4 linked regions of the Notamacropus eugenii genome follow. The protein of the gene in region 2 binds, or shares a complex with, the protein of the main gene of each other region. Links are inferred from orthologs where the notes say so. Each region holds a gene or a part of one and is shown on either strand. Other genes may lie near its edges. The genes, in order: BCAS2, RNF113A, GPKOW and SNRPD1.

Region 1 (7,387 bases), on a different chromosome or scaffold from region 2:
AGGGACAGTTTTGGAGAAATTTGAGATGACTTGTATAAACTCATACAGACTAAACTAAGCAGAAACATGGGACAATTTACATACTGACCAGAATACCATAAACTAAAACAACTTTGAAATACTTCAGAACCTAGATCAATTCAATGACTAATTACAATTACAACACATTTTCAAACATTGGCTAGACCAAAGTTCATTTGTTTTCCCTAAGTCACTAATTTCTTACAAAGAAGGACTTCTATCAGAGCTGGAAGAATTGGTGGCTAGTGATTTTCAAAACTTTTTATTTTGGTAACTGTTGAAGAAGAGATACCTGAATATCAAATACACTCTTGTGTTAATGCCCTCAGTAGTGATATTTACAAAATGTTTCTGAAATTCTGTCCTTTGTAAAATTAACCATAAACAACATAATCAGTTTGGTTAGCTGAAATTCACAAGTTACAACAATGATCATCAACAAGAGGAAACTGGGATTCTGTCCTGTGTTCCCTAGCACTTTTCTAGATAGGAAGACAAAAAGTCCACTCCCACCTCAAAAGCTGAGTAATCTGGAGCAGGCAGGTAACTCAGATAATTCTTGGTTGGCCGGTACCGACGTGTTTCCTCCTCTACCAAGGCAGCAGCCTAAGGAAAATGGGAAAAATCTCAGGGGAGTTTATGTAGCAGGCAGAAAGAAAGAGAAGTGGAGGAAAGAAAAAGAGAAAGCAAGTGTTTCTAGAGAAATCATTTCAAATAATTCTGCAGCAGAAAGAGCACCAAATAAAATCATCTCTATTATTTAAAATCTATGCAGCTGTCAAAGGGATTTTCTAACCGTACACTTTCTCCATCATCTTTAGGACCAATCACAAACTCCTTTGTTTGGATTTTAAAACCCTCCAAAAGTGAGCCCTGGCCTGCCCCTCCACCCTGGCATAAGCACTCTGTGGCCCAGGCAAAGACCTTCTTGCTCTGTTTCCTCTCTCTAAGCCTTTGCACTGGCTGTCATCTTGGGCTGTAAAGCATTTGCTCTGTTGCCTCTCAGAATCGCTTTCCCCCCTCAATACTCAATTTAAGCACTGCCTTTCTACGGGAATCCATTTCTCATCATTCCTGATACTGGATTCTTTTCTTCTTTAAAAAAAAAAAAAAGCCTAGCCAGGAAAGGATTCTGACTAAATTTGTGACTTCATTAATATAAGGCTCCAATGAAGCTCCACATCTCCTCTGCATTTAGAGGATTAGAGTTGTAGAGCACTGAGTGGTTAAGCAACTGGTCCAGGGCCACACAGCTGCTATGTGTCAAAAGCAGAACTTCAACCCAGGTCTTCCTGGCTGTCTATCTAAGTCAAGCTGCTTCTTCTTAGTATGCAAATTGTGCTTAAAATACTAATGTGTTTAAAAATACTAATTTGCTGGTTGGTCAAATGTTGAGGTTCAGGGGTGCTGGGGCCCCCCCTAATACCGACACCTGAGACCTGCTTGAATGAATTCAACACAAGCCTTGTTAAAGTCAGAAAAGCAAAGTTTATTAAAGATTCACCATCTTGGGTTGACTCTTAAGGAGCCTAACCCATCAATACCAGCGGTCCAGAAAGAAACTCAGCTAGACAGAGTCTGTGCTGGATTGAACCTGAGCGCCTTCATAGAGATGAGATGGAACTCATATACAGAAAGTCCATAGGAAAGATCTAGAGGTGGTCTAGTGGTCTGGAGGGAGGGTCTAAAGAGGATCTTGATGCGACTGGGGTAACTAGTGAAGTAATCCAGGGTGGGAAGTAGCTGGAAGCAATTGGGAGATATCAAACAATGCAGGGCTTGGGTGGGATGTAGGTGGGGCAATCCAGAGGTAAGAGATAATGGAAGGCCAGGCCAGGCCAAGGGCAACAGATTTGAGTATGAAAGGCCAGGTTAAGTGGGGAGATTCAAGGAGATTCCCAGAGTCTGTACCTCATCACAAAAATCGAAGTCCAGTCTGGTTGGATCTCAGCATGTATGTTGAGGAACAACGTAACATAATCTTGGAAAGGTAGGGTAATGCCAAGTTTTAGGAAGGACTTTAAAGCCTGTCAAATCAAAAGTATGAAGCATCTTCTATGCATAAGATGCTAGGGATGCAAAGAATGGCAAAAAACCAGTCCCTGTTCTCAGTCTAGTCTAATTTGGGAGACAACACACAAACACCTATGTTTGTATATACAGCACGAATTCAGACATATTTATTTGTAATTTGCACTGTGCACAACTAAGGGATAAATGGGAGAGGGAAGGACTGGGAGAGGCTGCTATTTTGACTGGGAGCTAGAGAGGCGGGGGAAGCCAAGAGCGGGAGACGAAGACTGAATTACAGGCACGGGAGCAGCCCGCAAAAGCCCACGGAGGTCTGGGGAGAGAACAGCAACGAATCCTGCAACTCTGCGGGGAGAAAAGCCATACAGGCGGACTCGGGAAAGTTGCCGCGGAGGGAGAGGGCCAAGAAGGGCCCCACGGGGAGGGGGGGCTGGGAGCGGGGGCGGGGCGAGCGGAGAAGGGGCGGGCCTCGCCGGCAGGAGAAGCGAGATCCGGGAGCGAGGGAGGACCGGGGACCCGACAGTACTGGGGCGCTTTGTAAATGTGAGGGGACGAGGCAGGGTCGGAGGGAGGGTTGTATACTCACCGCCTCCCGCACGCCAGGCGCTTCGTAGCCCTGATCGAAGTACGGCAGGGCATCTACCACCACCTCTCCAGCCACAAGGCCAGTACCCGCCATCCTGCGGCCTCAGCCTCTCGCAGCGCACGCCTCCAGGTCGAGCCGTTGGCGCCTGCGTTGAGGAAGTTACTGATCGTGCGCGTGCGCAGTCTTCTCGCGCGTGCTCAGATGCAGTTGCTGAATAATTAGGGTTGACCTTTTGCCAGGAATTTTTCTCCCGTTTTTTCGACCCGACTTCCCCAAGCTCATGTGAGGGGATGATATGAATTCTTCAAATCTCTTTGATTCAATGTGTCCACTGAAAGCAAGTCGGAGACGTAAAAAAAAAAAAAAAAGCCCCGCCCCTTCGGTTAACACGAATCACGTGACTCGACGTCTAGGTGAGGCGCTAGACGCTCTTTTCCCGGCATGCTCCGCGAGAAGCTGGACTCCGGTGGGGTCAGAGGTTAAACCTGCCTCCGCCGAGTCTTTTCTCAATTCCTTCTCCTCCATGGTACCGATTTCTTTCTTCCCCAGCACCTGATGAAGTGACAGCAGCAGCAGCAGGTTTGTAGCAAGTTCTTTCTGCGGCCACAGCCACAGAGGGCCACGCGAGGAGCCCCGTTAGATTCGCATCGGGACCGAAGGGGCTGACACCGAGTGGGCCTCTATGCCGCTCCATCCAGGCCGTGTTTCCGTGTCCGTGCTTAGTGTAAGTCTCCTCCGGCATCTCTTTTGTCACGTGTAGACACAACTCCCCGGCAGGATTTTGAGGTGGGCCTAGGGAGAGACCCTCCCTCCCTTCAAGACTGTTGTAGCTTAAAGGGACGTGGGACTTTAATGCGGCCTAGCAGGAAAGAATCCGTGTTCGTCAAGTCCACCTCGTTTTTACAGGTTGGGATGGAGGCCTGCTGCCTCCGTTTTAAAAAAAATAATCATTTTAACATCTATTTTTTAACATTTTGAGTGCCCAGTTCCCTCTCTCTCCCAGTCCCTCAGCCATTTGAGAAGCCAACACCACCATGGCAGTTATACATGTGAAATCGTGCAAAACATTTCCGTATCAGCCGTGTTGCACAGAAAAAAGTAAAAATAAGTGACAAAAGCTTGCTTCCGTCTGCACTCAGTTCGTCAGCGCTCCGGACGTCGTTAGCATGTTCCTCCTTGAATCCTTGGGAAGTTAAGCATGTGATGTTGTTACCGGTGTGATGGCCTCTATGCCCATTCTGCTGCAGACAACATAACAGAACGAGAGGGATTATCCCGCTGACAAACCCTGACACGGAACCACGTGCCCAGCACTCTGCAGATGCTGCATCCGGCGATTCCTGGAGAGACTATCCATCCGTACTGGCATAGTTTGAATACGCTACTGGACCTCCAGTCTTTCAGACCTGCCAGTGGGTGAGATGGCTTCTGGCTTCTCAAGGCACACAAAGCTGGGCCAAAAAAGTCCTACCCGCAGCCAGATCTTGTGCCTTCAGATCCAGGTCCTTTTCTACCATACAACATTTGTAAGAGTATTCATTCATTCAGCACTGTGCCAACTGCGTAGAGCATGGTTCTGGGTTCCAGGTGAGAAGAGGGCAGTACAACATAGAGGTCCTATGTGAGGCAGGAATTGGTATTTGAAGTAAGGAAATAGGCTCGCTGGAGGAGTGTGTATTAGGTATAGTAGAAAGAATGCTGGGCTTGAAGTAAGAGACCCTGGGTTTGAACTTTGCCTTTGTTACTACCTGTGTGTTTAAACCTTACCTTCCTCATTTGTAAAATGAGGAAATTAGACTAACTGAACTCTCAGGTTTTCTCTACTCCAAAAGCTATGATCTTAAAAGTCAGGCTTCAGGCATTCCATGGCACAACTATTTTGTACTTAAATAAAGTAAAACACTTCTCAAAAGCATATGACTTTTATTCCATTCAAGAAAAATGACTTTTTAAATGTTTTTATTTTTTGAAACATTATAAAATCTGTAAACAACTTTTTATACAAATCTTGAGCAATTCTGCTATCACAGACGTACCCATGATCCATAGTACTTTACAAAAATAAAATACAACAGTTCAAGGAATCATCCTCAATTTAAAGGGCATAACATTGGACCCCATCCCTGAGGCAGGGGGTCTCCTCACAGAGGGACCAACAGGACCCAGCCTGCTATATTTAACTTAGTTTTTCTTCCCCCCACCCTCACACCCACCATTTTATTAATACTCTGTTTTCCCATCAGAGATTCCTTTGGGAACAGCAAAGGGGTGAAGTTCTAGAAGGGAGCAACTGGACAGATGTTTAATCTAACAGGGGCCCTGTTGGGATAAGATGCTTACTATACATTTTAAAACAGACATAGGGCTAGCTTTCCTCTCCAGGCCCAGATTATAGGAATTATATTATACAACATCTACCATCAAATGGTGTCTGCTTCAGATTTATACAGGTATAAGCTACCTGATTAGGCAGCGAAGGCAGATCCTAATTTGCCAGAATAACACAACAAACTAACTGACACAAGTTCATTGCTTGTGAGAATAGCAATGAAATTTATTCTGAAAAACTAAAATTTTGTTAAATTTGAATAAATATGTTTGTGCCAGTTAAATATATCCATATTGGATGGATTCCAGAGTCTGAAAATTAAACATAGTGCTACTAAATGCCACTCTATTCAAAAACAAGCACTGCTTTGGGTACCAAGAGTCCAGGTAGGTAAGTGGTATGACCCTAGAATGAGGTTACATTTCCATGAGGTTCAGCTCTCCCATAGCAAAAAACACAAGGTTTAAGGAGAAACCCAAATTTTGAGTCATTCTGCTGGGTACAGAGTCCCCTGTCCTGAGGGCTAGAAAGTGGCACTGGTTCATTTTAGTTTGATAGGAAACATCTCTAATAACCATGATCTCACAGGGCTGAGTACCCATGTGAATGGACTACAAGATGCCTATCCTGTAAGTAAAAAGTGTTGAAAAGTAGGACTTTACCCACCTGAGTGGGATCCCACAAAAAAGAACATCAGACAAAAACATGAAGATAATATTTGGCTTGGGCCAATCAAAGCTGCCATAGAACTCAGTGAAGGACATCATCCCACCATTCCCACTTACCCTAAAATTTACCATAAGGCTCATGTTCGCCTAATATGTTCATTTTAACTGAACATTAACAAGACTTTCTTGAGAAAAACAAATTCCCTATAGTCCAAGCACCAGAGAATGAACCTAAATATTAAGAAGTAGAAATGTTTTCTTTCCAAAAAAATTGGATATAAAATGAAGACAGCATTGATTTCAGACCACCCTCAAGAATTCAGCTGTGACTCCAAAGTCAGTATCTGGGTAAAATCCTCAGACTGACTGCTTCCTTGAACCTTTTAAGCTTTTCCAAGGCTTATATAGAATCCTAGTCAGTAAGTACATCCTGGTACCTGGACCTGGATAGCATTTCCTGTTTCATTTCAGGTACAGAAATTCAGGTTTTCATTTCTTCTGCAGAAATTTCATTTTATTTCCTAAGGGAAGAAGTAAGCATAGGATACTCTTAAATCACTCATTTCTATCTACTATAAGGCTAATATTTACTCATTGTTTATTCAGTTCTGCCAAGTGCAGAGGTAAGCTTGTCCATAAGTCTGTCAATTGATCTGCGTTCTTAGAACACAAATTCTAACGTTTGCCCAACTAAGTACAGAATCAGCATTTTAGACCTGAAAGATCTTTGTAAATTCAAGGATTTTTAACCTGGGTCAGTGCAATTGTTTTTCACAATATTTAGATAATATTTTTAAAAGCTATCTATAAAAACCAGATTGCCAAAGGTGTCATGACAACAAAGGTTAATAATCACTACTTTAGAAGAGAAGGAGGAAGGGAACAAGCATTTACGGTGCCTACCGTGTGCCAGGCACTGTGCTAAACACTTGGATCTCTTTAGATTATCTACTCTGTTACCTTGGTTTATAAAGGAAAAGAAGTGACTTAAAGTATGTTTGATTAGTATGGATTAGGATTAGGGATATATATTCCAAAACCAAATAAAAATGTATTTCTTTTTCGGAGGATAGGTGTGATTTGGTATTTTGGTTTGGCAGTTCCATGTATGCTCTTCCATAGATGGAGATAATTAAGAATTGACTACAAGCAACTAGGAATCTGAAAATAATATTGTTTAAATTTGGAGACTAAGCTAAGATTTGTCTAGAAACAAGAATTCCTGTTCTGTGCTAGGTCCCTTCTATACTCAGGTGTTAATCCTTTGGTTTGTAAGGTAGGGCAAAAGTAGCTGTCTGAAGGAGGTGTCCCCAGAGGACCACCTTGGGCAAAGATCAACTGATCCAGGCATGAAAGGGAAAAATTCACAACTACTTGGATGTTTTTTCTCCTTCAGGACTCAGGAACTAGGGAGTTGTCTTAACAGGATGACACATCATTAGCAAGGCTTTTCTAGGTTATTAGCACTTAGACATTTTATGCATCTCAATATTTTATGGTATCTTTGAACTGTGGCATCATGAAGGTTTTCTAACCATACTTAATACAAACATAATAACTTACCAAGACTTCGAAGGATCTTGTTCACCCCACTGGGTTCAGACTCTGGAATTGCTTCCAAGTACTGAATGGCCCGGACTTCAAAAAGGCCTACGAGGGAAATTCATATTGTTGAAACCAACTTACATTCAAACACTGAACTAATGCAAGAGAACTTAATTACCTTTCTTTGAACATGCTAGATAATTAAAA
Region 2 (5,993 bases):
TCCAGCTTAGTCTGGTACCTCATGGGCACCAGGCAATCCAAGCCCCCCTCACACTACCCCAGTTTAGCCAGAATGGGGACCAAGCAATCCAAGCCTTCCCTCCTCCCTATGCCTACCCCCCCCCCCCATTCCAGCTTAGTCTGGTACCTCATGGACACCAGGCAATCCAAGCCTCCCCTGCCCTATCCCACTTTAGGAAGAATGGGTACCAAGCAATCCAAGCCTTCCCTCCTCCCTATACCTATTTCTCCCCCTTCCCATGCCCCATTCCAGTTTAGTATGGTACCTCATGGGCTCCAGGCACTCCAAGCCTCTCCCACACTACTCCAGTTTAGCCAGAATGGGTACCAAGCATTCCAAGTCTTCCCTCCTCCCTATGCCTACCCTCCCCCATTCCAGTTTAGTATGGTACCTCATGGGCACTAGGTAATCCAGACCTCCCCATTGTTTCTCATCCGTCCCTCCACCCCCTCCCCAACCCCGCGACACTTGAGTCAGAAATTTCCACTCATGTTAAACTTTGAGAGAGATTTTATTGTTACCATTCGGTAGGTTTAAGTAATGGGGGTTGCACCTTCATCTGAGCTTTCTAAGGGATCGGAGATGACGGCCTTCCCTTCTGCCTGGAATTTTTCTAGCTTGGCAATGAGGTCCTTGGCTGGGTTGAAAACCCCGTTGGTTTGCTGGTCACAGACGTAGCAGCGTTGTGAGGTGCGGAAGTGACTGAGGGCGCAGCTCTCGCAGAAATAATGTTTGCACTTGGTCACCACGGGGTTCCGGAAAGATTGACGACAAATGAAGCACTTGAAAGGCAGGTCCTCCTCATCGCTGCTCACCTCGTAGTTGTCTTCGTCGATGCCCCCATAACGACCCTCGTCCAGCTCGCGCTCGATCTGCCAGCCGTGCTTGTAGTCAGAGCGGTCGTGGAGAAACTTGCAGCTGTCTCCGAAGCCGCAGAAACCGGTTTCCTTGTAGTCTTTGCAGATGTCGGGCTGATAATCCCAGCGCACCGTGGCACGCAGATGTTCAGGAGCACGGATGGGGCCCTTTCTTACCATGCCGGATGAGGCGTTGCCCATGGAAGTGTCTTTGGGTTTCACGTACTTCTGGTAATTGTTGATGCCCCGGTAGATTTTATCATCCTCTTTGCCCCGTCGCTCCTCTTGGATCTTCTGGCTGCGCTCGAAGATGGCTTGTGCATCGTGCTCCTTCTCTGTGTCCAGCTCGTAGACGGCAGTGGCGCCCATGTCCTCGGGGCCCACGGGCTTGGCCGAGCGTGTGGACTTATAGACGACACTCACGGTGGAAGGCTCGCTTTCGTCGTCGCCGCCGCTGCTGCCGCCGCTGTAAGAGGTGGGCGCCTTCTTTTCCCGGTAGCTGCCGCGCGTCTTCTGGATCATGGGGTTGGGGACCAGGCGCTTCTTCTGCCGCCGGACCACCACGTTGCCCTCATCGCTGCTGCTGCTGCTGCCGCCACCTTCCCCCGACGGTTTCTCGAAGGCAGGCCGTTTCCGGCGACTCGCAGTGCCTTTCCGGGCCGACTTCTTGAAAAGGAAGGTGCACACCGGCACAGCCGGAGCTTCAGAAGACAGGTCGTCGGCCATCTTGATCTTTCTGAAACTGCGAAGTTCCGCGATGCCAACGATTCACTTCCTGTCTTGGCGTCACTTCCTGTCGGGAAGAGGCTACTAGCGGGCGGGGCACGGCACGGCGGCGGGCGCTGATTGGTCGTCGCCGCTGATTGGCGGGGTGGAGCGGCGCGGGGGTTGCTGGGACGGGAAGTGACTCATGTCACCTTTATCTCGCGACCGGCGTCGTAACAGTGTCTAAACTGTCTGTGGCCGCGAGCCTCTTCTCGAGATGTGGTTCGAAATTCTGCCGGGACTGGCCGTGATGGGCGTGTGTCTGACGATCCCGGGAATTACCACCGCGCTTATTCAAAAGTACAGCAATGGCGGCAAGGTAGGGCCCCACAAACCTGAGCTGGGACCCGGAGGTGGTCTCCTTGGGCTCCTCAGCCCGGGGGCGGCTCCGAGACTGGAGAAAGGACCCAGAGATCTCGAGCTGGCCTTGAGGCCAATCCGTACTGAGGAGAGAGGGGAAGGGAATTGGCCAGGGTCCTTGCTCTAGAGCTGGAAGAGACCTTAGGGGCTATCGAGTCTAACCTCCTCATTTTACAGAGGAAGAAACTGAGGCCCAGCGAAGGGAAGGGACTTCTTTCAGGTCACCCATAGGATCCTAGAATTAGAACTAGAAGGGACCCAGGGGCCTATCCAATTCAACCCCTCCCCCCTTCATTTTACAGAGGAAAAAACTGAGTCCTAGGGAGGTGAAGTGACATATCCAAGGGCCTACAGGATTCAACCTCAAGTCCTCTGATTCTAAATCCAGTGCCCTTTCCATTAGTAGCTTTCCATCTTCCTCACACAGGTGACATGCCAGAAAGTAAGTCCTTTCTGTTCCAAGTAAAGGGGTATTCTCTTTAGTTTCTGGCCAAAATACCATTTTACTGAGGGAGAAGCTCTGGTTTCCCTTCCTGTAATGTAAATAGAATGTTGGAGGCAACACTTGGTTGCCTGAGAAAATGAGAACCCCCTTTTTACAGAGATAGGGGATCTGAGGCAGTGAAGTGAATAAATAGAGTACTGGGCATGGAGTCAGGAAGACTTGAATTCAAATCTCATCCCAGATACTTATTATTTGTGTGACCCTGGGCAAGTCACTTCACCCCTGCTAGCCCTGGTTCTGCATTTGTAAAAGTGAGGTAATAGTAGCACCTACCTCCCAGGCTTGCCATTGAGGATCAAATGAGATAATATTTCTAAAAGAGCTTAGCCACTTTTCCTGGCACATAGTAGGAATTGTATAAATGCTCATCCCCTTTTTATCTCCCCTCCCTCACTATGAGTGTGGAGCATTTGCTATACTTATTGTTAGACTTAGATATGTGAGTTTTTGCCAATATGCTTCTTCTTTCCCTCCTGTTCTCTTTTATAAGGGATAGCTCACTAGGTAGAGGTGGAGGTTGGGGGACATTCAGAAATGAAAGTGATATGTAAATATATAATATTCATATCTATATAAATGTGTAAATTATTTTTTAAGTAAAAGAAGACAGCTGAAGGGCTCTTAGTAATAGCAAAGGAGCTCCTGAGCTGGCTGTGGAAGGGAGTGGGAAAATCACGGGAAGATACAAAGAAAGTGGCAAGAAGAAATAGAGATTAAGATAGAGAGGTTCAAGGCCAAATGGAAAGGAGAGAATCCATCTACTTCCCACAAACTATATTCACTCCATTTATTCAGCAGACGGTTATTAAGCTACTGTGTACAGGGGCCAATGCTAGGTGCTGGGGATACAGAGATGAGTCAGATACTAGACCTACCCTTAGAAGGGATCACAGTTAAATAACAACAGATGTCATATAATCTACAACGTCTATTGAGAGGGTGGAATGGTGTAGTGGATAGGGTACTGGACTTGGATTCTAGAAGACCACTGGTTCAAATCCTACCCAAAATATCTTCTATTTCAGGCCTTTCCTTGTCCCTTTTAGCTTTTGTTACTGCCTCATATATAATATAGTTGATAGGTGAGAGTCTAGGGTGGGTTGTATATGTGCATGCTATTTCTCTCAGAATGTGAGCTTTTCCAGAGCAAGAACTGTTTTATTTGAAAACACAGCACAATACCTAGCACATAGTAGGTACTTTATAAATGCTCATTGATGGACTGATAGACACCATAATGGAAAGAGTGATAGAATTAGTGGACTTGGGTTCAAACCCTTTCTCATACATTTCCAGTGAGGGAAGGCAAGTGACCTAATGACTCAGGCTCTCAGGTTGTTCATCTGTAAAATGTGGATAATAAAGACTAAAGCATTTAGCCTATCTCACTGTGGTTCCAATGAAACCGTGAAGCTTTAAATGTAGTGTTCTTACCGGTCTGCAGGAGGATGTTACTCAATTAGGGAGAGTCATGGGATTTTAATAGACAATGGTGGGCATGAATGGATATCATTGGTTCAGAGTAGAAGTTGTGGAATATAGACAGAAGACAGTACAGCAAGATCTTCCTCAGAAAGGCCCGAGTTCCAATCCACCCTCAGACAGTAACATGCTAAATAACCCTGGGCAAGTCATTTCACCCTCTTTGCCTCAGTTTCCTCATCCATAAAATGGACATAGTAAAGAATGTATGTAAAGTATGTATCCTATCTCACTGAGGTTCCAGTGAAACATTGAAGCTTTAAATGTGATATTTTTTCTGCTCTGCAGGAGAATGTTTGTCAATTAGATAGAGTCATGGGATTTTAATGGACAAGGGTGGGAATAGGTGGGTATCATTTTTTTTCAGTCGATGCTGTTGGTCATGGACAGAAGAGAGTAGGGGAAGAACTTCCTCAGAAAGATTTGAGTTGCAATCCAGCCTCACACACTGATTAGCCTAATAACCCTGGGCATGTCATTTTACCCTCCTTGCCTCAGTTTCCTCAACTCTAAAATGAGCACAGTGATGACCAATGGATTTGACTTATCTAACAGGGTTGCCAGTAAAACGTTGAGGCATTGAGTATAATATTACTTGTATCCTGAGGTCAAATCCAGTCTCAGACACTCACTAGCTAAAGGACCCTGGTCAAGTCATTTCACCATTCTTACCTCACTTTCCTCATCTGTAACACGGCCTACTAAAGACTAATGCATTTATCCTTTCTCACTGGGATGCCAGTGAAACCTTGAAGCCTTAAATGTCATATGATTTTTGGTCTGCAAGGGGATGATTCTCAATTAGGGAGAGTCATGGGATTTTATTGAACAAAGGAGGGGATTAGAAGGGCATCATTTCTCGGGTGCCAAAGCTATAGGTTAGGGACAGAAAAAAGTCCAGGGTGAATTTCCTCTGGAAGACATGATTTCAAATCCAGCCTCAGAAACTCAGTAGCTAAATGACCCTGGTCAAGTCATTTCACCCTCTTTGCCTCAGTTTCGTCATCTATAAAATGGGCCCAGTAAAGAGTAATTCACTTGTTGAGAGTAGAAGCCGTATGTTAGGGGCAGGAGACAGTAGAGAAAGAACTTCCTTAGAAGGATTTGAGTTCAAATCCAGCCTCAGACACTGAGTAGCTAAATAATCCTTCACATGTCATTTTACCCTCCTTACTTCAGTTTCCTCATCTCTAAAATGGGCATGGTCAAGGCCCATGCATTTACTGTATCTCATGGGATTGCAGTGAAATGTTGAACCATTAAGTGTAATATTATTTGTGACATGCAGGGTGGTGTTTCTCAATCTGGGAGAATCATGGGATTTTAATGGAAAATGTGGGAAGAGAAGGATATCATTTCTTGGGTGCAGAAGCTGTGGGTAAGGGACAGAAAAGAGTTCTAGAAAAATTTCCTGTGGAAGATCCGAGTTCAAATCCACCCTAAGTCACTTACTACCTTCGTAGCCCTGGGCAAGTCATTTCGGCCTCTTTGCCTCAGTTTTCTCATCTGTGAAATGGGCATAGTAAAGACTAATGCATTTCTCTTTTCTCACTGGGGTGCCAGTGAAACCTTGAAGCCTTAAATGTCATATTATTTTTGGTCTGCAGGGGGATATTTCTCAATTAGGGAGACTCATGGGATTTTAATGGACAAAGGTGGAAATAAATGGGTATCATTTCTTGGGTGCCAAAGCTGTAGCTTAGGGACAGAAAAAAGTCCAGGGTGAATTTCCTCTGGAAGACGTGAGTTCAAATCCAGCCTCAGACACTCAGTAGCTCAGTGACCCTGGTCAAGTCATTTCACCATTCTTACCTCAGTTTCCTCATCTGTAAAATGGGCACAGTGAAGAATAGTGCATTTGTCCTAACTCACAGGCTTCCCAGTAAAACTCTGAAGGATTAAATATACTATCCTGTGTCCTGTGCAGGATAGTGTTTCTCAAATAGGCAGCATCATGGAATTTTAATGGACAAAGGTGGGAATAGAAGGGCATCATTTCTTGG
Region 3 (7,601 bases), on a different chromosome or scaffold from region 2:
TAAATTGATTGTTGTCTAAGCAAAGGCCCACCATCACTGAGTCAACACCACAAGCCAGTGCAACAAGGATTTTTGTGACCAATAACTTTTCTTTTTTCAATAGGAATACGCTCATAGGCATGGAAAGGCTAGCAAATTGCCAACAGTTCATGCAGCAAGCCAGCTTCCTGGGGCTAGAGCCTGGAAGGCCCTTAACAGACCACTCCTCTCTTTTCTAAGAAGGTCAAGAAACAGTTAGTAGGTGGTTAATTTGGATTCCCACTGGAAATGGGGGAAACATAAGGTGCCAGGTGCTGTGTGTACCAGGTGAGATGGCAGAGGTCACAATGGCCATCATTTACAACAGCAAACCTCCAAATCTCTGCAGTTTTCCAACGGTCCTGTTGCTCCTCATGACTTAGCTGAGATGGACCATCTTCCCCTTCCTGCCTTCTCCCCTTCCTCTCACACCCAGCATTGGGTTCAAATGTCACACGGCCCTTAGTGTCTGCCTCATTACTTTTGGGATTCTTCTCGGCTACATAATGCCTCTCTCTGCTCGTCTTTTCTCAAACCACCCTTAGAACGAACTGGGTAAAAAACTAGCGTGGTAACATGTGGCAATTTAGATAACCTTTCGCTTGAGTTTCCTCCAGAGGAGATTGTCTTCACAACTGATTCCTTCCTAAATGGAGGCTCTGATTTATTCTGATTGAGCTTCCAACTAGCACATCTAACTCCACGAAACCACAGCCCAGGTGGGAGCTAATTTATCTGGTTGGAAATTCAAAGAGGCAGTAATGTCTATGACAAAAGATACCATGGAATGGGAACTAAGAGGTATCAAGGTCATGTCCATACAAGGTTAAAATGAATGGATCCAGTTGAGACTGTAGGGATTGAGGTCCATATGTACTGGCAATGTAGGGGAGGGGTGGTGGGCTTTAACTGTTCCAAGAATTACCTGTGCGGAATATGAGAGGATAGTCAATCCAGTTCAGTAGGAACATAGGTAGAGGACTAGGTGAGAGTGAGAGTAATGAACTGCCTAGGATAGCAGTCTCTCTGTGGGGGGTATTACACACTGAGTAAGAATGAAGGTGTAAGGACACTTTGTATTAACCTCAAACATTAGCACCTCCACTCATTTCCCACAATGCCATTGGAATATGAGCCAGACCCCTGTAAGCCCAGTTCATAGACCTACACAGTGGATTCTCCAACAGCTATCCTTGGTGCATTTTGAAAGGACCGTTACTACCAACATTTCCAGGCCCAGAATACCGGCCAGGGATTCAATGACTTAAGTCCTAAAAATGAAGAGCTTTTTGGCACTGATTTTTCCCCCTCAATATTTCATTGAGATACTGTGATTATTCCTCCGTGAACTGTCTGAATGCTCAGTGATTAAAAATTTTTTTTGGAAAACTTATTTTTATTTAGACAAGAAACACTAACCAACCAAAGGAAGGCAGGCAGGCCCCTGTAATTTCCCCTTGTCTCCTTGGCCCCTGCCCCAAAGGGCCAAAGCATGATGATGGGCACTAACTAGGGGCTCTGCCAAGATGGCCTGAAGGCACAATGAGACAGACCCACAGACACCCCTCTGCCCAGTCTTGGGCCACATTACAATCCTCAGTCACCCCAGGAAAATGCAGATACTGGGTCCCTCTGATGGATGGGAGCCCTTCAGTCCTCTGCCACAGGCCCAACGTAGTGACAAACAGCGTCGTAGTCCAGTTGCAGGACAGTGCCCTCCCCCTCCTGCAGCAGCTGCACCAGAGCCCGGCTCTTATCCTTGTCTCTGCCCAGTAGCCGGCCCACCTGGCCCCGGTGGGGCCCCAGCACCACCATGACCCTGGCCTTCTCCTCCTTGGGGATGAGGGTCTCCAACATATCTTCTCGCAGCCCCTCGAGGAGCCGGCCCTCATCTGTCCTGCACACACACGTGTCCGGGCTCAGGACGTCTTCGATGATCATCTTGGTGTTGTAGTAGCGGCCCTTGTAGTGCCCTTTGTCCACGAAGCGCACTCGGAGGTCTCTGCGCAGCCAGTGGGGGGCCCGCTCCTCCGTGGGGGGCTGCTTCCTTTTCAGCCCCTTCTTTTCGGGGGCCCCTCCGTGGCCCGTCTTGGGGTCCCTGGCCCCCCGCAAGGTCTGCCTGTCATACTCCTGCCGGGAGACCGGCCTCAGGACGTGCTCGCTCAGGGTGGCCACGTGGCCAGCGGGGGCCAGCTTCACCACGGCCCGGGCGTTGTCGGGGTCCAACCCCTGCACTTGTCCGTAGAGGCCTCGGTGGGGCCCAGACAGCACCACCACGGCCCTCCCAGGGGCCAGGCCCACCAGCTCCTCGTCGTCCTTGGGGCTCCCGGGCTGGCTGGGCCCTGGGGGGCCCGAGGGCAGGACCAGGCTGGCCCCCAGCCCCAGCCCCTTGGGGCGCAGGGGGTTTTCCCGGGGCTTCACCACCTGCTTGAAGGTGCGCCCGATGCCCTCCCCCGGCTTCCAGCCCATGCCCCGGAGCATGGCCAGCCCGTAGGCCTCCACGGGCACCGCCTCGTAGTCTGCGCCCACCGACTCGGGAGCCTCGGCCGCGTCTCCAACCCGGGCCAGGAGCGGGATGGCCATGGAGCGGTCGGCGGCCTCGGCGCCCGGGCCCAGCTGCTCGGCCCGCTTTGACTCCTCGATCAGCTCCTCCACGGCCTGGCGGAGCACGCCGTCCTCAGGGAGCACGGCCTGGCCCGGGGCCGCTGTCCGGCCGTGGCCCCGCCGCAGTAGGGGGATCACCAGCTCCCGCGGCGCCTCCTCGGGCGGCCGCACACTGCGCAGCTCCCGCCCTTCCACGGCCCGCAAGAAGTCCTTTTCCTCCTCCGGCTGCCCCTCGCGGCCTTCGGCCAACCGTCTCCGGCTGGCCGTGCGGCTGAAGCCGAAAGAGACCGGGCCCGGAGGCCCAGGGGCCGCGGAGCTGGCGGCCCCCGCCTCACTATCCCCGTGCGCCATCGCGCCACCCGCAGCTTCAGGACTGACCTAGCGCTCAGCCTGCCGGGTCCTTTATGCAGTCCTTCCTCTTCCTGCTGGCTCGCGGGGCACGCTGGGTCTTGTAGTCTGCCTCACCAGTAGCGTCTGTTTGTGCGCGGTGGCTGCCGGACCTTGTAGTCAGTCACCGGTGGGGCTGTTTGCACTTGTCACCTTCTGGGTCTTGTAGTCCTCCATGCCTGCAGTTGCAGATTGTGCGCGAGGCCTGCTGGGTCTTGTAGTTCGCCCCTCCTGCTGCCAGGGTTTGCTCACTATGTCTTCTGGGCCTTGTAGTCGGCCCCACCTGCAGAGGCGGTATGTGCGCGGTGGATGCCGGGCTTTGTAGTTACCCTCCCCTGCACCCGTGGGGCTGCTTGCACTTGGCGTCTGCTGTTTGTTCAGCCTCCTCCGTTTGTTAGCGCGCGGTGGCTGCTGGGCCTTGTAGTCGCTCAATCCTCGTCTTGCATATGCTTGAACCGGGACCACCCGGGAGAACTTGATGCCCTTCCTTGATGTGTGTTTCAGAGGGTGGGCCACGAGCGGGGGACGGTGCACTAGGGAGAACAGTCTAGCCCATTTTCGACAAAGCAGTCTGGGCAAAGAAAGGCACCGGAGAAGGATGGCACGGTGTTGTCATACGCGCAGCCTGCCGGGGCTTGTAGTTTTCTTTCTCCACCTCCACCCACCCACGCTGGAGTCGCTGCGCATGCGCAGGATTCCTGCAAGGCAGGGTCCCCCTCCCCTTGCTGCTCTGGTGGTGGGGATGATGGGGGCCGGGTTGTGGGAGAACGCCTCGCCCTCTTCTCGCCTCTCTCTCTCGCCCTTCCCTCCTCCCCCCTAGGTGGACGATCCAGGTGGCTACTAGAGCTGCGGGCACGCCACGCCTCTCGGTGGTTTCCAGGCATTGGGGTGGGGGGAGGGGAAATTCGAGGGCGGGATTCGGACCCACCGCAAACCCAGCGCCCTCGGGGGCCTGTGTCTCCCCCACGCTGGACCAGCGGGGGAGGGTCTGCGCCCCCAATACCCCGTAGGCTGGTGGGGGGGAGAGTGTCCCCTGAATAACAACCAGGAGCCCTCCCCTATGATGTCACAGCCCGGAGCGTGGCCGTGCCCCGAGGAGGTTAAGGGGCCCCTGGCCCAGCCCTGTTGCCCGGAGCCATGGGTCAGGCTGGGCCGAAGGACGGCGCGTTCCCTTTGGATGCGAAGCAGACAAATGTAAAGAAAAGCTGGGGTGCAACTCTACCCTCTGACCTCCCTCCCAGCGCCCCTCCCCTCCCTCCGCCTAACGTCCAACTTTCTTATTTTCTGGGAAAAGCTTTGGATTCTGCTGGGTGAGAATGCCCACTCGGGCTTGCCCCCTGTCTAGACATTTCTGACTTTTGTTCCCCCTTCCCTGAAGGATATTTACTGCTTTAATGGCTCCATTCTGCAGACGAGTTGGTTCCTTTTACCCCTGGAAAGGTGACCATTGCTTCTTCCCTATCCCCGAGATCAACGCAGTCATCCATTTCGGTCGGGGCTCCCTGCCCAAGTCACTGCCTGTTTACCACCCCGCACAGCTGGGCTGCTCTTGAAGAAGAACCGTCTGCTAAGATACAGACTTCATCACAATGGTCTGGAAGCTGGACAGCTCCCTGCTGCAGAGCCTCCAGGAGTCTAACGTGCCAGACAGCGTCTGTTCCTGGTCTTACTTCCTTGTCTAAATAGCTGGTCGGGGCATTGCTATGCACTGCTGACCTGAAAACCTGGTTAAAGAAAAGGCAACAGGCTAAATGCGTACATTTCACGATTTAATTAATTAATTCCCTTTAAAGAAAACAGCGACAATGCATTATGGAGTCAGAAAAATATTCTGACCACTTGGTATAGAAATCTTCTGGCATATATATATTTTACCGTGAGTTACTGTGAGAAAGGAACTCTCTTAGTTGGACAAATTGTAAATTTAGTAAGATAATTAACAAAGTAGTATCAATTGAGTTGTATGATCCCAAGCTATGTGAATTTCCTATTTTCATATGTGTCTCTGACATAAGATAAGGAGAAAATCTCATCACTCTGATGGCAGACCTCCTGTCCTAAACAGGTCCTTGAAGTTGCTGACACAAGAAAGGGTATCTTAACAGAGTAGACAAAGTTGAAATTATAACCCAGGAATCTGTGTTTTTCCTTATCACTAAGATGCCAGGAAAAGGGTCTCCTAAGGAAATTACTAAGTCAGCCCTATTTGTTTCTCTGACAAAAAGACATTCTCTGAGTTTACTTAAGATAACAAGGGAGACTATTAGGTCCAGACTCTTCTTAATTCGAGCTTTGGCCCTTATTAAAGTCTAATATTTATAGTAAATATTATCAGCACTTACGGCTTAGATGATGTTTCAGATTCTAGAGTAGCCTTCAGTTCTGGGCAGAGTTCAGGGAGAGTTCAGAATCAGTTAGGTTCACTATTGGAACAAAACATTTGTCAATCACTTCATAGACAATTTAACAAGAGTTGTTGCTCTTATCATGGAAAGGCAGTACACACTTGTACAGAGGTGCTGGTTCTGGTCTCTGCTCTATCCTCTATTAACTGGAGCACCTTACTCTTCTCTTTGGGTTTTCATTTCCCCCTCTGGAAGTGAGTGTTGAATTAGAACGTTCTGGAAGGACCCCTTCATCTCTAACCTTTGGAGAGATGGCAGACTAGAAGCCACAATCAACCTTTGTATGAACATATCAGTCTGTTTGTTCATTATGCCAGGTTTCTGAGTATCCCCAAGCTAGGCAAAGACTTGAGGGTTCCAGTGAACATCATTGGGGAAGTAATCACAATTTCATTCTGCCCAAGGGTTGGGTATAAGGAAACAGAGCTAACTTCCATTTGGGAAGTGTCTGGTTGGTGGCTGATGTTCACTCTTCCATGTCCCAAGTTGTGTTGTAGGGTTTCCTTTCTACCCAAATGATGTGGTCCATGGGTACTTTATAATTGTCCCTCCCTTGCATGCTCTCCAGTCTTTACAGGGTCAGCTCAAAACCAGCTGTTTAGTCCCAGTCTTGACTTGCCATCCAGGAGTGTTGGGCAAGGAAGTCTTGGGTTCTGCAGTCTACCTGGATTTTTTCAGGGTTTAGGTAACATGAAATTCAAGACTTGGATGGTGAGGGTTTGAATCTCATTTTCCTTAACTGTAAAGTAGGTAGGATACCTATGGTACCTACTCCATACAGTTATTAAGGGCCTTGTCCATGACCCCACAGGTGGTGTGAGAGGTGGGTTAGACATCTGGATCACCTGGGCTTAGGTCCTTCACTTTCTCCAGTGCTAAAATGAGAAAGGAAATATAGCATCTTAAGACTGATGTTCAAGCTTTGGAGGCTCTAGGCTTCTGCCCTCTGTCAGCCCAGCCCTGAACTCTAATCTGCTGCTTTGGTTTGAATGGGGTCTCACTTTGTGAAGTTTTCTATCCTCTGTCAGAGACAAGGCCCATATCCTGAACACAAACTGCTAAGTCTTCAGCAGGCTGGAGGGGGAGACAGTTCATGTGACAATTATAGGGTGCTTAGGAAAACGGACTGTGGACCAAGTGCTGAGCAATGCTATCTCTCTTTAAAGTTTGCATGGCATTCAGAGTATCCAGAAGTGAGTAAGCTCTTCGATGGGGGATAGGACCACAAGCCAAATGAACGCTTGAAGAAGGCAGAAGAGTCTCCTTCTAGTGTTTGAAGGCCTGTCATGGAAAGATCAATTAGATTTGCTCTAAGCTGCTCTAGAGGGTAGAATTAGGGGCCATACACGGGTGCTGCAAGCAGAAAACTTTTCCCTAAACCAAACCCATACTTGGCTTGCAATGAGTTAGCCTAAATAGGACTGGGTTGTTTTGGGAGGTAGAAGGTGCCTCCTTGCCAACCATCATCTGACCCACTAATTAGGAGAAATGGTAGGTGAGGGACTTCTTGGTCAGGTACAGGTTTGCCTGGATGGGGACTTTGCCTGCTGGGTTTTTGTCATGCGTCCTTCGAACCAAAGTGTGTTCTCATGCCCTACAAAGGAAGCAGAATGGGGAGGGCTTTGATTGCTTTCTCTCATATTTACAATACTCATGTTGTCTGAGCTGCTGGAAATGAGAGATCCAAGCAGGTGCTATCTCTGACTTTCCAGTTGAACTTAGATCCTTGGCTTTTGTTTTTCCCAGGCTTTCTGAAAGAGAAGCTGGAAGTGCAGGGATCAGCTCTTGACTCTGAGACCAGCTTACTCCTCCCATCTCCTTTTGGACCCCAGGAGCTGAAAAGGGGCACAAGACACTGAGAAACAAAGTCCAGCTTTTTTCTGCTTCTCAAGAATTTATGCAACTCTATTGGAGAGACTAGGGAAAGCCTATATTGGAGAGGCCAGAGAGAATTGTGAATCTTCCCTTGCTTGAGGGAAAACATCTCTTTTAAGATGATGGGTAATTTTTCTCCCTTCTCCCTAAACCCACCTAGAAAATGCTGTGTCCATCTCGGGAGAAATTCAGATCATTTCTGAAGATTTTGTCCAATTTCCTTTCTATAATTCCTAGGGATGAGATCTTCACTTGGTTGGTTGGTTGTTGTCCTTCACCTTCAAAGAGGACCAAAATGACATCACCATGATA
Region 4 (7,207 bases), on a different chromosome or scaffold from region 2:
TGGAGTGGGCTGCTTGAAGTGCTGCCTGACAACCTCCCTTTTTGGAGAGTGTCAGGCAGAGACTAGACTAGATGTCATTATTTGTCAGGTATGATGCAGTCTGGATTTTGTTTGTCCAGATTGAACTGGGTGGCTGTTGAGATTCCTTCCATGTCTCAAATTCTGTCATCCCCTCCAACAGCCCTGATCCATTAGCTCTCCTCTAAGTTCATCCTGTGTGACTCAGGTAGACCAGAGTTCTATTTCTGCCTCAGTCACTTAACGGGCTTATAGAACTCAGCAAATTACTTAATCTCTCAGCCTCAGTTTCCTCATCTGTAAAATGAAGATAGCAGCTACTTCAAAAGACTGTTGTGAGATTCAAGCATTTTGCAAAACTTTAAGTACTATATCAATATTAGTTACTACTATTATGTAAAACTAGAAAATATCAATAAAAATTTAAAAAAGACAAAATGTTGCTTTTAGTGAATGGAGGTTGACCCAGATGTCATAAAATAAATCATTACTTCTAAATTAAAATACATGTTTTGCATATTATAGGGGACATTTTAAAATTTCTTTGGCTAAAATTTCAAACACAGGGTCTACTGCTTTTCAAAAGCCAAGTATTTTGGTTGCTCTAATCTCTGTTTACATAGATAATATAATGGCATATCCAGGTTTTTATCTGTACTTGTTTTATCTTCTCATCACATTACATTTTGGGTTTTATGGAATGATTGTCCATAATTCCAACAGAGGAATATAGGATAAGGTAACCCAACTTATAGTTAATATTTGTCTTTGGGGAACTGGAATTTATTTTCATTATAAAGTAGAAAAATTAAAATTTGGTTTTCCTGTCCTAACTTTTAAAAATACATATTCTATAATCATTCAGAATATTCCATTAATTTTTCCTTGAATGTATTAATTCCCTTGTTTCATGAGTTGTGTTGGTTGGATACCTGTAACAAATTTTTTGGAAGACAAGGTGTTTCACAGATAATACAGAGAAAGACACGGGAGTTTTCGGTCTCTAACAGGTTCACTCTTAATCTGGTCAGACAGGCAGACAACTTTGGAGGGATTAATAATCAGCTTTATTCTAGTCTAGTCTTCTCAAATGATTGTTGGGAGAACCAGCTCCCACAGCATTCCTTAATCACCCTTCTCAAAGGGAGTGGTGGGGGCAACTACCCCTAGTCTCAGCGGGGTCAATTGAGACAGGGATAGCTTGTTCACTCTCTTAAATCCCCTCAAGCCTCAATGGGGGCTGGTTGAGGCAAGTACATGTATTCCTTATGTATGTATGTGGTTTTCCACTCATTGCCCACTGCCCACTTGCTTCATAAAGCACTAGACAAAGAAGGCATCTTTCCAACATTAAGCTCACAGGTTAACTTTAGCAAAACTGTTATTCTGCACAAATGTAGTAAATGTCACATTATGTTACCCCTTATCTCCTGGAGCAGCCTCGGTAGGCCTCTCTGTCACTATGATTCTGAGAATTAATATCCTTGGGGTTATTCTGGGATTTATTTTCTAACACCTGGAAATTAGACATTCCCATGGCCATGGATCCTGAGAAACTAAACTAAAAAAAGATAACAAAATCCTCCTTCCATATACATGGACAAGAGCCACACAGGATAAGCCAAAATGAATGATTTCCATCTCTGTCATTAGGAGGAATACTCTCATCAATAAGGCTTCTATTCATTTGAATTCAATCCATTTTCATAGTATTCTAATGTAAAATGATTATCTTAGTAAGTTCCCAGCATTCTTTTGTACATGGGGTTATATTCCACCCTATTAATTTATTCACTTCCACTATGCAGTGGGACTATATTTAGTCCTGTTATTTTTACATTTCTTACTGCTGATCAGCAAAGCATGTGCTGTACATAATCAAGGTTTTATATGCCTCTTAGATCCTAGGATACAGTTGAAAGGGACCTTAGAGATCATCTAGTCCAAACCCATCATTTTATAGGTTCTGTCCTTTTATGATGCAGACATTTTGGTGACTGAAAGGAGCAGAAAAGGGACAATTGTGTATGAGCACTGATAAAAATCAGCTTGAGAGGAAATGCAGCCCATCAGATAAAAGTACTAGGGGAGAAACAGAGACTTTTCTAAGAGGACCAGATAGAACAGTCTCTCTTATGCTGAAGCTGGGGATGGCTAGAACTCATTGCTATCCATCAGCTTATTTACATATGACAATTTTCAGTATTTTGAAGGAAACAGGTGAGAAGTTATAAGAGCAGCTTGTGAACTCTGGGAAAATCTTCAGTTTGTGCCATATCGATAGAATTGTGGATTTTGTTTTTTTTTTCAACCTGAATCAGAGATGGGGCACTACTCATGAAGAGCGCCTGATTAAAAGTCAGAAGTAACCAGAGAAAAAGCAGGAGAAGGGGACAGAAGACTTAGAAAATGACAAGGGAAGCAGCTCAAAGAAGATATAAGGAAATAACAAGCACTGAAACTAGCTAAAAGACATGCTTTGTAGTTGACGCAGGGAACTATTTGATTGGAAGAGAATGCTATAGCTATTGCAAACTGACTGAAGAAAGGCAGAATCCTCTTATGTAAAGAAGCGTTCTGGGTTTATTGCCTTTTACCAACACTCCTAGCCTGAGAGGGGAAACCTCTCATATTGTTACTGTTCTCTACCGTTTTAGACGGGGAAACCCTAAATCCTACAAGGAGAACAGACCTCATTAGTACAGCTATTTACATACTTAAGGGAACTGTGTTTCAGGAAAGAATGTAATATATGTTGCTAAAAAGAGCATCATACTTTTTCACCATCCTTCCATGAGTGACAACTCACTAAAAGAGCTTCCTTTAAGTCCCAACTAAAAATCCTTCTTTGGGAAGTCTTTCCCAACTCCGCTTAATCCCGATTCCTTCCGCCTTTTACTTATTTTCTATCTACGTAGCTTGTTTGTATATAGTTATGTATCATTTTCCCAAATTAGATTGGGAGTTCCTTGAGAGAATGCCTTTCTTTGCATCCCCCGTGTTTAGCACAGTGTCTAGTGCATAGTAAGAACTTCATATATGCTTGACTCACTAATATGCTGAATTTTTCTTCCTTTTAGCTTTTGCTCCGTTTGCTGTGTCTAGAATGTTCCCTTTCTTTGCTTGCTGAATGCCTGACTATCCTTTAATGGCTTGCTCCAATGCCACTCTTTCCACAGTCTTACCTGATCCTCTTCCCTTCTCACCACATCCCCATTACAACTTTTATCCACCTACTTTAACAACCGCCCCTTCTTTACACCTTGGGGCACTGTTTTGCCACTCTGTGCATTACCTATCCCCCCACTCTCTATGCTTGCCTACATCTTCCCAGGGAACAAATGAAACTTCATTAATTCAGACCCCACTGCAGTAGATTTGTGTAGTTAGACAAAAAGCACCGCTTTCTGGGTAAAACTTCTGAATTAAGTGGCTTATCTTCCCCTGCCCACCCAAGGTGCCACAGTTATAAATGGAGATAGATAGCTTCATTCCCTAAAACACAACCCCATACATTTGCTTTTTTCAAAATTCAGCTCTTCATGAAATCTTTTGATTGATTTCACTTTTGCCTTTATTCCCAGTGCCTAGCAGTAACTGTTACTTAATGAATGCTTGATGGATTTAATTTTAATATATTGCAAACACAGACTTGTTACGAATTACATTTTTTCAATAACTAATATCTACTCTTTTCACTTGTTTCAGTCCTTTTCAGTTATGTCCTAACTCTTGGTGACCCCACTTGGGGTCTTCTTGGCAGAGATCCTGGAGAGGTTTGCCATTTCCTTCTCCAGCTCATTTTACAGATGAGGGAACTGAGGCAGACAGGGTGAAGGGACGTGCCCAGGGTCACTCAGCAAGATGATCCTTCCTGACGTCAGCCCAGCACTATCCACTCTGCTACCACGTACACACATGTAAGTATGGGCACAGATCCATCAGGCACAGTTCGGAAATTCCAATAAATGGGATTCCTTCTTTAAGATCAATTACAGAAAGCACTTGTTTTTGCTCAACTTATCCAAACTTTGGCTTTGTGCATCCCGGGCAAGACGGGAGTATGACCGATAACCTGAGGTTTTTACTAAAGAGGAGAGAGACATTGCTTTCCCCCAAGACCAACAGTGAACATCCCGGCCGAGCTCTTGCGGACATTTGCACCGTCGCCCTCCAGGGGGAGCCGCAGCAACAACATGCTCCTGGAAAGTACCCGCTCCCCCCGCCTCAGAGCCGTCTCGAGTTTTCCTCCAGTCGGGTTTTCTACTTCCGGTTCTCTTGGTGGAAGTGCTTCCGGCCATTCATTCCCTCAGCCCCTGTTAGCGCCCTGGGGTCGTGATTTTGCGACCTGTAAGACCGAAAAGTCGACGGCTCCGTGAAGGATGAAGCTCGTGAGGTGAGGAGACGGCGAGAGCGCCGGCCGCCGCAGTAGGGTCGGGTTTGGAGGTTTGTCGCCAGACGCCGTGCGGCCAGTCAGAATAGGCGCCAAAGTGGCGTGTGCACGCGAGATAGGCCGGGACAACGGCGGCCCTTCCCCGCCCTCGGCCCGCTCTCCCGCCCGCGCGGCGCCTCGCGCTGCGGCTCGTGCCCCGAAAACGACCGCCCTGGGCGGGGCGAGGCTTCCCTCCTCGCGACCGGCGTTGTGCGGCCGTTGTCCGACGGGGACTCGTGGGCCTGGCCGTTAGCTTCTAGGCTCTCGCGAGACGCCGCGGCGCGGGTCCTGGGCCCCGGGCCCCGGGCCCCCGGCCCCCGGCCCCCTGCCCTCGCTTCTGGGGCCCTTTGGTCTGGGCCTTTCTTAACCCTGTTCCAAAACCGTCTGACCGCTTTCACGTGGTGGAACCGTAGGGTTAGAGCTCGAAAGGACTTAAAAGACAGGGGGCCCCCTCGCCTTGCCATTTTACGCTTGAGAAAAGTGAGACCTATGAATGCCAAGTGGCGTCCGGCTCCTCCGGCGCTAGGCCCAGTATTGCGCCTTCCGCTTGGACCCCGGGGGCAGGGCCTGGGAATTCGGGGGCGCGGCAGCGGGCAGGAAGAAGCACCTGAGAAACGGACGGGGGACCCCCTGGGTGGCTTGGCCTTTGTGTTTTCTATCGGCTAAAGCCCGAAAGCCGAGGCGGGGTCTGACTACTAAAAACGTCAGTTCCTTCAACTGGGGCCTTTACGGAACTTTACAAAATGCCTGGGCCCTGCGGTCCATTATTTGGAAACCCATTATACCATTAGATGTCCTCTCCTTCCATCTTTGGCTGTTTCTACCCAATTCAGCATTTCCCACAGCCCACAACTCCTTAGAATCGGATAAACTTAAAGGATTAAACTTTACATCAGATGGTTCCAGTTAAAGTTTGAAGGAGTCATTGAAGCCAGCTTATTACTCTGAGCCAGCCGTAGTATTCGAAGCACACACGGAGAGTCGGGGTGTACCAGGTTTCCAGATCCCAACTCTGCACTGTTGGGAACTATAAAGTGCTACGACAGGTTTTATATTTAGCCAGTTTCTCCTTGTCTTCTAGCATTAGAGCACAGTAATTGCCTCTCAGCTGCATTTAAAATGATTGCTACATTTCCTTAAGATAAAGGTATGATTCAGACTAAAGCACTTAACTCTGAACCCACTCAGATGTAGAGTAGACTAAGGGGAATTTTCTTTCAGCTTTAGAACTCCAATCTTGCTTGCCCCTCGGAAATATAGAGGATGCTTTTGTCTAAGATATCTTTTAAAAGGAAGAAGACAGGGTTCAATTCAGGGAATTGTGCAGTAGGGGAACTTCATTCAAGAGAGTAACTGAATAAAATCAATCTGAAAAAATATCATACAAAAATTTCTATATTTGCCAACCCTGGAAGTGGTATGTATAAGTTCTCTGTGTCTAGAGAAATGGGACTAAGAATCAGAATTTGAAGTTTTGGAATGTAACTTTTGTATAACTACCCAGACTCACTCAGATAACCAGATGTGGCATTTGTAGACCTCTTTTGCAAGATGACTGTGCTTAACATTGCCCTTTCTGCTTACTTCAAGCTTTTCATCAGTCAATAAACAATCATTTATTAAGTGCGTTTTACTAGGCGTACAAGGCAAAAAAAAATCCCAAGCAGACCCTGCCTTCAAGGAGCTTATACTATACTGGTAGAAACCAATATGTATCCAGACAAAAATGATGAAACTGCCCTTGCAGTAAAAGGGACAATGGCACTCTACTTGTATTTAAAGAATTTAGGTGCCAGTTTATTGCACTGCCACCTCTGTCTGCATGCTATTGGCCAACTCACTTAAGCTCTGTGAGCATCCATTCATTCATCTGCAAAACACAGAAGGTGGACTAGATTTCCTTTAATGTTCTTTACAGTTCTAGATGTATAGTTTTTTTAATCAGATATGTGAAATTTAGTGTTACATGGAATATTCAAATGGATCTTTAATTGGGTTAGATGTTCCCTTAGTCTCTGCAGATTACAACCACCATTCCTTGTTGGTACTGTATACCTTTTGTCAATGTCATTCCATAAATTTGACGGTGTCTAACCATTATACTAGAGATCTGTAATGATGGGGTACAGATTCTGGGAACCCCCTTGAATCTTCCCACTTAATCTTTTTTTCATGCCCAAATCTGTTACTCTTAATCTAGCCTAGGTCCTCCATTGTCTGTTGCCTCCCCATTGCCTGCTGTTTCCCACCCTTGATCACATCAAAATCCCACCCTCTTGGTTCTGACCTCTTGTCACCTCAGTCTCAGCAAGATCCTCCTTACATTCTTCCTCACGACCCTCCCTAAACCCCTCCTCCCATCACCCCAGACTACTAGACCACCCCCAGATCCCTTCTACAGTCTTTCTGTAATTAAGATTCTTGTCTCCTTGAAAGTGCTGACATTCATTCTAGCTCAGATTCTGTCTGGCCTGCTTGCGTGTCACAAATCTTGAGGATTCTTAAGAGTCAACCCAACATGGTGAATCTTTAATAAACTTTGTTTTACTTTGGCTGAAAGAAGGCTTAGGTGAAATTCATTCAACCAGGATCTAGGATGTTGGCATTTTGGGGTCCCAAGCACCTCTAACCTTAACATTATGGTTCTTTGACCTCAATATTACTAAATTTCTCCTGACTTAAAAAAGGTGTTGGAACACTTTGAGCGGGGGTGGAGAACTTGTGTCCTCCTGGCTAATTGTGGCCCTCTAGATCCTC

What was found.
Region 1: RNF113A (region 2) and BCAS2 share a complex: the UniProt entries of both Homo sapiens proteins name them as parts of the pre-catalytic and catalytic spliceosome complex. The link is inferred for Notamacropus eugenii from reciprocal best matches to the Homo sapiens genes RNF113A and BCAS2.
Region 3: RNF113A (region 2) and GPKOW share a complex: the UniProt entries of both Homo sapiens proteins name them as parts of the minor spliceosome. The link is inferred for Notamacropus eugenii from reciprocal best matches to the Homo sapiens genes RNF113A and GPKOW.
Region 4: RNF113A (region 2) and SNRPD1 share a complex: the UniProt entries of both Homo sapiens proteins name them as parts of the minor spliceosome. The link is inferred for Notamacropus eugenii from reciprocal best matches to the Homo sapiens genes RNF113A and SNRPD1.

Annotation. Positions count from the first base shown.
Region 1 is NC_092873.1:293,879,163-293,886,549, forward strand, and holds the start of BCAS2 (pre-mRNA-splicing factor SPF27), read right to left. Parts: upstream 3,007-7,387; 5' UTR 2,732-3,006; coding exon 2,639-2,731; intron 628-2,638; coding exon 535-627; intron 1-534. Other genes in the region: DENND2C (DENN domain-containing protein 2C), read right to left, coding at 6,125-6,156, 7,199-7,285. UniProt on the Homo sapiens protein: Required for pre-mRNA splicing as component of the activated spliceosome. Component of the PRP19-CDC5L complex that forms an integral part of the spliceosome and is required for activating pre-mRNA splicing.
Region 2 is NC_092879.1:43,546,173-43,552,165, forward strand, and holds RNF113A (E3 ubiquitin-protein ligase RNF113A), read right to left. Parts: upstream 1,695-5,993; 5' UTR 1,605-1,694; coding exon 555-1,604; 3' UTR 514-554; downstream 1-513. Other genes in the region: NDUFA1 (NADH dehydrogenase [ubiquinone] 1 alpha subcomplex subunit 1), read left to right, coding at 1,861-1,962. UniProt on the Homo sapiens protein: Required for pre-mRNA splicing as component of the spliceosome. As a component of the minor spliceosome, involved in the splicing of U12-type introns in pre-mRNAs. E3 ubiquitin-protein ligase that catalyzes the transfer of ubiquitin onto target proteins.
Region 3 is NC_092876.1:17,503,705-17,511,305, reverse strand, and holds the start of GPKOW (G-patch domain and KOW motifs-containing protein), read right to left. Parts: upstream 3,006-7,601; 5' UTR 2,974-3,005; coding exon 1,669-2,973; 3' UTR 1-1,668. UniProt on the Homo sapiens protein: RNA-binding protein involved in pre-mRNA splicing. As a component of the minor spliceosome, involved in the splicing of U12-type introns in pre-mRNAs.
Region 4 is NC_092875.1:245,365,723-245,372,929, forward strand, and holds the start of SNRPD1 (small nuclear ribonucleoprotein Sm D1), read left to right. Parts: upstream 1-4,203; 5' UTR 4,204-4,400; coding exon 4,401-4,414; intron 4,415-4,619; exon of another isoform or gene 4,620-5,597; intron 5,598-7,207. UniProt on the Homo sapiens protein: Plays a role in pre-mRNA splicing as a core component of the spliceosomal U1, U2, U4 and U5 small nuclear ribonucleoproteins (snRNPs), the building blocks of the spliceosome.